2 linked regions of the Neurospora crassa OR74A genome follow. The protein of the gene in region 1 interacts with the protein of each later gene in a biochemical or structural test. Links are inferred from orthologs where the notes say so. Each region holds a gene or a part of one and is shown in the gene's direction. Other genes may lie near its edges.

Region 1 (5,058 bases):
TGCACGCAGGGATGATGCTCCATCGGTTATCGTCTCGAGCGGAAGATATTGGCTGTAGCGGTTTCGGTATCGTTGCCAGATGGGAATGACGGCGAAGGTTAATACGAGGTAGAGAATCAGGGCTATGATCGCAGGGACAATTAATGTCTATAGGTGTTCGAAGAGGTTAGTGACTGGGAAACGAACAGCATAGAATCGTGACTGATCTCCTCTTGAATGTCTGTGTCTTTGTCTTGCTCACCTTGATCGCGGAAAAGTCGGCGCCCATGATGACGACAACCTGGCCCGCTGCCGTGCAAGGACTTCAACGAGTCCAGTTACAGAATGTGATAGTCTCGGCTGAAGAGGCCTTGAGGTTGTGATAAAAGGCTATGAGGCTGAACAAGCCAAAAGTGGTGGCCGCGGCGTAAAGTGCCCCTGTTGCCTACGGAGGTTCCGCTTGCGACAAACCTATGTAACATATACAAATGCGGCACGTAATCGCGTGCGGAAAGGTGTACCTGCGCTAACTGCGCGCGCAGTACATACTGTAGCCACCTGGGCTTGACAGCCCAGACGTTGTGGAACAGTGCACTGTAGAGTTCCTGGACTGGGCTCACCCGGCCCTTCCATGTATCGGGTCTCTGTGGCATGGCCCGACTGAGCGAGGCCCGGGCCCAAAATAGCAACGGAACGACACCCTCAAGGTTGATGAGATGCAGAAACCTAACAAACTGCCCTGATGATCCAGGGGTATCGACGGCCTCATGTAGGGATCTCAGAGGATGTCTTTCCAACCAACAACATCTGTTCCTATACAGTTTTGGACCTCCACAAGTGTGTTTCTCGCTCATACCTCTAGCTTGAGGACTTTTATTCTTTTGTCTTCAGATCATCTTGACCTCTTTTGGTTGGGATAGTGAGACGCAGGGATGATGATACTCGGATAGAACGGTGATGATTGGGCAAGGGATCATGAGCCAATCTTAATACCAGTTCGATGTGATTCCATCATATCAATCTGCCCCCACCAGGGGCAGTTTGGGAAGGTGGAGGATTAAGCCAAGTCATAGTTCCAGCCGCTATGCCTACTTATGCTATTGTATGGATGTACGCAGTACATAGTAATGTGGACATATATGGCGCCGCTGAATGTGCCACCAATGCATACGAAGATGACCTTTATCACCATTATGCGTATTGTTTCAGGTTGACCAGCGGCCTTTTCAGTGCTCAGTTGACAAGTTTCTATCATTGAGTTTCTTTCATCCTATTCTGTGCCGATTTGTGGTTCCATCACTTATATGAACCATCGGTTAGGTTCAGATGATGGATGTTTCGGATGGTGGATGGGAAAAAGAAAGAACGGAAGAAACCCGGACAGTCCCTGCGTCTTGACCACTAACAAATTCCCCGCCTGTGATTCAAGACATCAGGGGTGATGATGTGCCCAGCTAAGCCGCTTTCAGCGCATCGAGACCCCCTTTGCCGTGATGTTGAGGTCTCCCACCAGAAGGTGCAGCTGTTAAGAGAGTGCACGGTGCACCCTCCCGCGCCATGCTGGAGTTGCCCCTGCGATTGCCGAGCGTTGTTAGGTTCGCGTTCACACGGCAAGGAACCCCAACCTCACTCTCTCTCAAGTGATCTCTCATTCGGCTCATTCAACCACTTCACCTCAGTCCAGTCTCGCTGCAACTTCTGAATGGTCATCTGCCTCTGCCTCTCCTTTTCCCGAGCTTGTCTCTATAGCTGATAATTCGCGGGTGAGCCAGCCACCACCGGACAACGCTCCACCCGTCGTCGTTGCCATTGCTCCTTTTCTTTCCCAATCATCGCTCATAGAAGACCACCATTCATTTGCCGCCCGATCTCAAATCAACCTTCAATTTCGTCCGAGTGGGTAACTAAGCCCGTCCAAGACAGGCCCTCCAGTGCCCCACGCGCGCGCGCGCTTCCACCCCAAAGTTAGGTACCGCCAACGACCTGGGCCAAATCCACCAGACCCCTCGAACGGGAGAGTCCGTCCCTGACGAGCCCTGACGGTTTGACCAACGAACGGCATTTTGTTCTTCTCCTAGTTCAGCCTCGGCGTAGCTGTCTAAGTACTCTGGCACTTTTGGTAGTGAGCGAGCTGAGCGTCGCATACCTACCTACTCATCACCCCTCCTTGCCGTCAGCCAGGTCGCCAGTATACTGCCTCTACACTACACACTAGGTAGGTAACTACAGTACTCTATCTATACTTCCAACACGAGATCCAGAAGTCGAAGTCGACGACATCCTACACTACTACCTAGGTATTTCCAGGTTTCGCCGGCTACGCTACACGGACAGACGCGGGTACGGATATTTGCGCCCGCTCGTACATTTGCGACTTGACCCCTTTGACTTTCACTTGAGTTCCATTCCCTTCGAAGATCTGGATTGTATTGCCAACACGGTCTCGATGCAGTCTAGTTTGGGTCAGCACACATCCATACACATCTCGCCCGAGTGCGCTCATCCCACCAGCTAGCAGTGCTAGCAGCTAGCCTATCTCGAGGCCCGCCTCTGCGCAAAAGCTTGCCCGGGCACGGCTACCCTCCGAACTCCTCAACTTGACCTCATGCTAAAAACACCAATGGTTCATGCAGCAGGAAGGCCATGCTCACCAACCGTTATTGCCCGCAAAGAACATGATGCGATCCACCCAGGGCCTCAGACACCGAGTCCATTGACGGCATTTGCTCCGTATCCATTTCAACGCACTCATTTACCAATTGACCCACCCGCGCATTGATTGCCTATACAACTACCCACTCCGCGCCTCGAGACGAGACCCGACCCGGCCCGGCCCCTCGACACCCCTCGACGCCCCTCTACAGCGATCCAGATACCCACGATACCCGCTCGCCTATTGCTGAGGAACCACCCCCGAACAACACGTAGGCAGCTTGCGCTGCTGGGACTGTACTCTGGTGTACTGCCCTGCCGGTAGCGAAGCGGCCGCTTCACACATCCCGTCCCGCGCCATGTCCTCCCACGACAAGAATGGGAGGGCTACCTCCTCGAGCGGCAAGGCCTCCTCCTTCTTCTCGAGAGCCACTGGCAAGAACAAGGCCGACAAACGGAACGCAAGCGATGAGGGTGGCCGATACCTTGCCGCCGACAACGACGCCGCCAGCACCCATACCGCACGCAGTTCGCGCCATTACCGGGACTCGTCTGTAATATCGCTGGACCGTCCCGACACGCCCGAATCTGGCCTCAACATGACGGCAGGGGTCGTCACGACGATCCCCTATGACCCTGTTTCCCCCGACAATCGCTCCCCCGTCGCCCTCGACCACCTTCCCAGGCCCGACCAAATGCCCCTAAGGCGAGAGCTAGTACCGCACCACCTCAACAAAGGCACTGGTGACTTCCACCAGTATCCCACCATCGACCAAAGCCCAAGCTCCCCCTATAATGGGCAGTCACCCAGCGCATCAAGTTCGCGCTCAACTCTCGCTACTGCTAACATCACCATGGCCTCCACGGGCCGCCAGGCCCAGTTTCAGCAATGGGGACCACCGAGAGAGAGCAGTTTGCCCGGGTACAATTCCAGAGGCCACTCGTACATGACAACCCGCAGTTCGGGCGACAATGCCAGCATCTACTCAGGTAGGGACGGACACTACCAAGAAGCCCCAGGAACCAGCCATCGCTCATCCAGGATAGGACTCCCTAGTACTTCGTCTCAGTCATCCTACCTTTCTCCCCATGCCCATAAGGACAGAGATACCCAGCGGTTAACCAAGGTCGCTGCCGGCCACCAGGGCTCCGAAGGATTCAACTTTCCCAAGCCAGACGATGACAATGTGATTGAACAGATGTTCATAAACCTGATGCAAAAGCGAGGATGGCACAACCTCCCGGACCAGGCCAAGCGCCAGATGATCGCATACCCCGCCGCGAAGAAATGGACCTTGATTTACCAGGATCGACTCACCGAGTGGCAGGGCGAACAGAAGCGCAGACAGACGGCCAAGATTGGCCAATACAGCAATGTCGATATTACCCAATCCTCCGATGACGAAGGCAGCCCCGAGTGGTATGTGCGCAAGGTCATGGAAAACGCTCTGGACAGCAAAGGGCTCGGAGGACTCGAAGTCAACCTTCGGACACAGCAGATCGGCTGGGTCAAGCGCTTCATCGACTGTCAGGGACAGATCGCCTTGACCAATGTCCTGCTAAAGATGAACCGAAAGACTGCCTATGGACCTGCTCAGCCGGATAATGGAAGATTGGATAAGAATTTGGACCGAGAATATGACATTGTCAAATGTTTGAAGGCTCTTATGAACAACAAGTTTGGCGCAGACGATGCGCTAGCTCACCAACAGGTTATTGTGGCTCTGGCCACCTCCCTTATATCACCTCGGCTCACCACCCGGAAGCTTGTCAGCGAAGTCCTGACATTCCTCTGCCATTGGGGCGAAGGCAAGGGCCATGTCAAGGTCATCGAGGCCATGGACGTCGTTAAGGCCCAGCAAGGCGAAAACGGGCGCTTCGATGCTTGGATGCGTCTTGTTGAGGTCACCGTCGACGGCCGCGGGAAGATGGGCAGTTTGGTCGGTGCTAGTGAGGAGGTACGAAGTGGTGGCATTGGCATGGAGAATCTGCTCATGGAATACGCCGTTGCTACCCTCATCTTGGTCAACATGTTGGTCGATGCCCCTGAGAAGGACCTGCAGCTGCGCATACACATTCGGGCTCAGTTTACGGCCTGTGGCATCAGGCGTATCCTGAACAAGATGGAGGCCTTTCAGTATGAGCTGATTGACAAGCAAATCGAGCGGTTCCGCTCCAACGAAGCTATCGACTATGAGGATATGCTCGAGCGTGAGAACAGCAGCATCAAAGATAGTATCGAGGGTGAGGTTAAGGACCTCAACGACCCGGTACAAATTGTAGATGCTATACAGCAGCGGCTTAATGGAACCAAGACACAGGACTACTTTGTATCTGCTCTCCAGCATTTGCTGTTGATCAGGGACAATGATGGCGAGGAGAGATTACGCATGTTCCAGCTGGTGGACTCTATGCTCAGCTACGTAG
Region 2 (5,028 bases), on another chromosome or scaffold:
GCAGTAAGACTGATATCCTTCATGACAAGTCTCGCTGATGATGACTGACATGGCCTCGACAGAAGCAGCTCGTCTGCTGGAAAATCGGATGAGCACGGGAGAGATGCCCGACTCGAAATGTTCCAGATAGAAGAGAGACAGGAGGGCAATATTCTTGTGCGGGTGCCACACAGACCTCGGAAACCGCGGGAGACTCGGCGGACTATGGCGAGGGAGATTCGACGCATCATGGAGCCCTTTGATGTGCCCAGGTAGTAAGGGATGATGGTTCCTTTTCGAATGGCTGAGGTTTGAATAACATGGGTGTCAAAGCTTGCAAATTTGCCTGGTATAATCTGCGTTTGCTCATGGTGGAAGGATGGGAGGCAACCTGGCCGATAGACGACGGTATGTCCAGCAGACCGTGTTGTTCAATACAGGGTTGTACACAACGTTCGAGATGCGACACTCCAGTTGAAATCCTTCAGCAATTGATGTCGGCGATCCTCTTGTGCCTTGTTTTGTTGTTGCCGACTGGAAGCTTGACATGGACTGCGCTGACGAGTTCACCTCCAGCTCCGCGCCCGTGTAGGGTTCATGAATATCGGTAGTCGAAGGCCGCGTGAAGTCGGATGGCATTGAACCTCCAAGATACGAGTTGGAGACGGAACTGAGTTCATCTGTGTTGTTGTTACGGACACTGCAGGGAAGAAAACGTAAGCCCAAACTCAAGCTGAAGGACACTTGGACACTTTCAATTTCGAGGCTGTCTGGATTTGGACCAATTTCTCTGCCCGGTCGGTGCCTTGCGCCTTCCCTTCCCCCCAGGACCACCAACTTCAAGAGGATTCGGTGAGATCTTGGTAATGAGGACATCCGGGGAAGGAACAGAGGACCGGACTCAATACTGAGGTGGTGGACAGTAGGTAGGTTGCCGCCTTCTATATGTTCATGGTGTGTTTGTCGGTGTGGCCTCTCAACGTTCCCTGACTTTGCTGCTTGTACTGTGTTTTACATGGATGGCAATGGATGAGGTGCGACGTCAATGATGTGCCACAAATAAAAGGCATTTGACGAGATGGTGGTGTAGCAGAATGACGGCTATTGTCAACATCCTTGGTCCAAGATGCGGAGATCTGGCGGTGATGGTGATGATCCTTGTCTTTGGCGGTTTGGATGAAACATTGAAACACGGGGAGTTGTTTGTTCAGCAGGGCTGTGGGGGACAAGAGCCCCAGGGTCGTGTTGAGTCGCGTGAGACGGCCCGATCACATGGGCTACAGGTTAATCACAGCCATGGCTGGCTTGGACAGTGTTTACCAACAATGAGAATGGATATTTTGTAGCGCACCCCCTGTTATCGGCCGCTCTTACCCCTGTCCAGGGAAGGGCACGGCTACCCCTCAGGATCCCCTGCCCTCTTCTTGCCATGTGCTCACCTTCAGGCGCTCCTCTGAGCTAAGCGGGTATCATGTGCTGTTACCGCGCCCAGCCATCACTAACAGTAACAGCCTGGAAATTACAAGCTAACGTATTAGTACAATCTGCTTGAACCAACAGTGATGGCGAAATGCAAAACAACTGAAGGGAAGCGAGGTCAGGAGCCCACCACAGCGGCTGGCAGCCCAACTGGAGCCGTTGCCATGGCCTGCGCCTCCACTTTGGCTTCCATTTGGCGATACAAGTTCCAATCCACTGCAATTATACCTAGTCCCCGACTTGTCAGCAACGACGGGACATCCGTCCTCAACGCAGTTCCATAGTATTTGTCCATCATCAACAAACACAACCTCGCGCATTTCTCAAAAGCTTGTTTCTAGACAAGACACCTACTACTGTCCGCCACCATATCCTGATGCGCCGCCCTGATTGAGACGGCCAGCAACATCAGTCGTCGCCAGCATCTTGAAGGGCTCTTGTCATCCCGTCAAACCGATTCACTATCTCTTTATTTGAAGCGACCAAGACCCTGTCGCCAAACGCCCCCGGCCCGGTCTAGACGTAGCTCCCGCCATCTACGCGCCGTCGAATCTCCCATCTCTGCCCAACATCTGCTAGAGGTGCCGACCCGACAACACAAGCCATCCCGCCTGACGTGATCTCCTTTTTGCGACACGACCATTTGCCCTGAACATCACAAGCTCTATCACATCCATCAGACAGCAAGGCAGCGCAGCACATGATGAATGTCCCGGGTCCCGGCCGCCCCATGCAGCGACGCCCCCCCGCCCCGGGCACCGAACCCGGTGGTGGTGGTGGTGGTGGTGGTGGCCCGCCCTCCAACATGCCGGCCCGCTCAATATCGCCCGCCGTTGGGATGGGAGGACAGATGGGTCCCCAAGCTGGCATGTCGAGGTCTTCAGCTGGCTCAAGTCGCTCAGTTCAAGGTCCCGGCGGCGGCCCCGCCGGCGGTGGGAGCACAAGGCGAAACAATGTGAGTAATCATCTTCCCGCCTTGGCTTCCTTTACTGTTGTTACCATCGGCCTGTTTTGCAGTCCCCCTTTCTCTCGAGTCTTTCCATCTACATGCGCGCGTCATGATGCCTCTCCTCTCCTCTGTTCCAATCCTCCTCTGCCGTTTGCCAGTTCGCTGCTAACCAGGGCATCTGACAACAGTCATCTGGCGGCTCGTCGTCCGTCCCACTATCGCAAATCGAAAGGAGCGTCACACATCTACTTGTGGCCACCAAGCAACTGCTCGAAACCCTGACACAATGGTCCCGTGGAAACGCAACCGATACCCAGGTCTCCGACGTCTACGTACGGCTGGGCTACGAGTTTAATATGGCCTGCCGAGCCTTTACTGCCATCAATGTCGATATTGACGACTTGGGCAACGTACCCGAGATGCTGCGCACCATCCTGGAGGCCACTCTAAGTCAAGAAGCCAGCGCTGAAAGTCTCGAGAAATACCTGCCAAAGATACGTGATATTATCATAAATCTGCTGCATGGTTTAAAAAGAAAACAGCAAAAGCTAAGGCATCGCCAGCAGCGGGATAGAGAGCCGAGTATCGCGGGAGACGATGGAGGCTATGGTCCAAGTCGCGGACCTGGGCCCAGTAGCAGTGGCGTGCCCACCAGAACTACGAGCACTAGTACCATGGCTAGTGTTAATTCTGGGCTCACCAACATGCTGAACGAAGGGCTGGAGAGCAATGGCTACCGACCGGACTCTTTCAGGGATGATTCTCGGAACTCTGGTCCTACAACGGCATCACCCACCAGACGTCTTCCCTCGCAACGGGACCAATCTCGCGGCTCTGTCACCTCTGACCAGTCCAGCCTGTCGAGCAACACGATGCAAAACATACCCGTTATGGCGCCTTACCCAGGTGAAGAGACAATTCCAACCGGCCCACCGGCACCACCCGAAATCAACGTGGACAACTTCCCTCCGCCGCCGCCGCCGCCCAAGGGATCGGGACAGAGCGCCTTGGCGGCTCTCCAAAGAGGAGGTAATCTGGAAAGACGAGCTTCCCGCAGATATGAGGCATACCAGATTTCCAAGTATCTCGGCGCTATGGTCCCACCCCAGACAACGCCGATACCCGATAGGGGCAACCGCGAGGCTAGAAGAGAGTCGCTGCGGGCGATGCACGTAAGGGAAACCCCCCGCCACAGCCGCAATGTTTCGAACCAGTCCCAACGTACCATTGGCCTCGATTCCTCTCCCGTTCGAGTTCCCAGCCGGGTTCCTGAAGAGCCTGAAACGGCCGATTCTTATACATTTAGCAAGGCCGACAACTTGAATGTCCAGGCGCCAGATGACAAGTATCCTACTCCAAGCGCTACCCTTAATGGCCCGCTCGCAGATCCTATCCCGATGGTGGATGAGGTAGACTCGTCTAAGCCCGCTGCTACGAGGCCTGCTCCTGCGCCTGCCGCTCCTCAGCATCAACACAAGCCGTCCATTCGCGCCTCGACTCCCGATAAACAACCGCCCAGCTCGTTTATGCTCGAGAATTCACCCCCCGCAACCAAGGAACTGACCCTCTTCCTGCAGTACAAGTCCAAGGTCAAGAAGTTCGTGCTCCCTGAGGGCTACGAGCATCTGTCTATGGCTCGTCTTCAGCTGGCCTTTATTGAGAAGTTCTCGTGGAACACGCAGCAGAATGGAGCTGATCTACCGGAAATTTACATTCAAGATCCCGTCTCCGGTGTCCGCCATGAGCTTGAGGATCTGTCCGATATTAAGGACCGTACAGTGCTTGTGTTGAATGTCGAGGTTTTGGATGAAGTCAAGAAGCATATTGACAAGAGTATCGGGTCCATCAAGACCATCATCCAGCAGGTTAAACAAAATGTCGACGATCAAAACGCCGCCATTCAACGTGTGTCGGAGCGCCAACAGGAGACCGCCAAGGATCTCGCTCGCATTGCCGCCACGCCGCCTCCCACTATCATCGCACCAAGTGGTATGGACTCGACGGCTTCGCCACGCTCTTCGTCTTCCTCTGTCGCTGGTGCTGCTGCCCTTGCCGGTTCCTCATCCAAGAAGCTCAGCCCAAGCCAGCTCACCGAGATCCAATCCCTTCGTCGCGACCTCGCCGTTCTTCGCCAGACCTACTCCAACTTCCAGTCCGAAGTCCAAGGGTCCATGACTACTCTTCGCAACAAGGCCAACAATGTCAAGACCGCCGCCGCCAAGTTGTCCGTTCCCGATGGGGAAGGCGACTCTGGTCGCGCTTACGTCACCAAGGGTCGGAAACTGCTTAACGCCGATAGTGACCGGCTTGTCAACCAGGTAGACGACCTGCAAGATCTCATTGAGGACCTTCGCAAGGACGTTGTCCACCGCGGCGTCCGCCCACGCCCTAACCAGCTCGAGTCCGTCACCAAGGACATCACCACGCTCTCCAAAGAGCTCAAGAAGATGGAGGAGTTCATGAAGAAGGAGAAACCCATCTGGACCAAGATCTGGGAAAAGGAGCTCGAGGAGGTCTGCCAAGGTCGCGACGAGTTGCGCCTCATGGAAGATCTGATGATCGACTTGCGCGACGACTTGGAGAAGGCCAGCGAAACCTTTGCGCTTGTCGAGCAGGCAACC

The links. The genes of interacting proteins can lie anywhere in the genome.
Region 2: the proteins of bni1 (region 1) and bud6 form a complex in vitro, tested with the Saccharomyces cerevisiae proteins (5 studies listed by BioGRID). The link is inferred for Neurospora crassa OR74A from reciprocal best matches to the Saccharomyces cerevisiae genes BNI1 and BUD6.

The regions. Positions count from the first base shown.
Region 1 is NC_026505.1:4,767,305-4,772,362, forward strand, and holds the start of bni1 (cytokinesis protein sepA), read left to right. Parts: upstream 1-1,647; 5' UTR 1,648-2,194; intron 2,195-2,612; 5' UTR 2,613-2,990; coding exon 2,991-5,058. Other genes in the region: NCU01432 (hypothetical protein), read right to left, coding at 1-147, 242-268. UniProt on the Saccharomyces cerevisiae protein: Required for the assembly of F-actin structures, such as actin cables and stress fibers. Nucleates actin filaments. Binds to the barbed end of the actin filament and acts as a leaky capper, slowing both polymerization and depolymerization.
Region 2 is NC_026502.1:3,557,114-3,562,141, reverse strand, and holds the start of bud6 (actin-interacting protein), read left to right. Parts: upstream 1-1,691; 5' UTR 1,692-2,158; coding exon 2,159-2,413; intron 2,414-2,595; coding exon 2,596-5,028.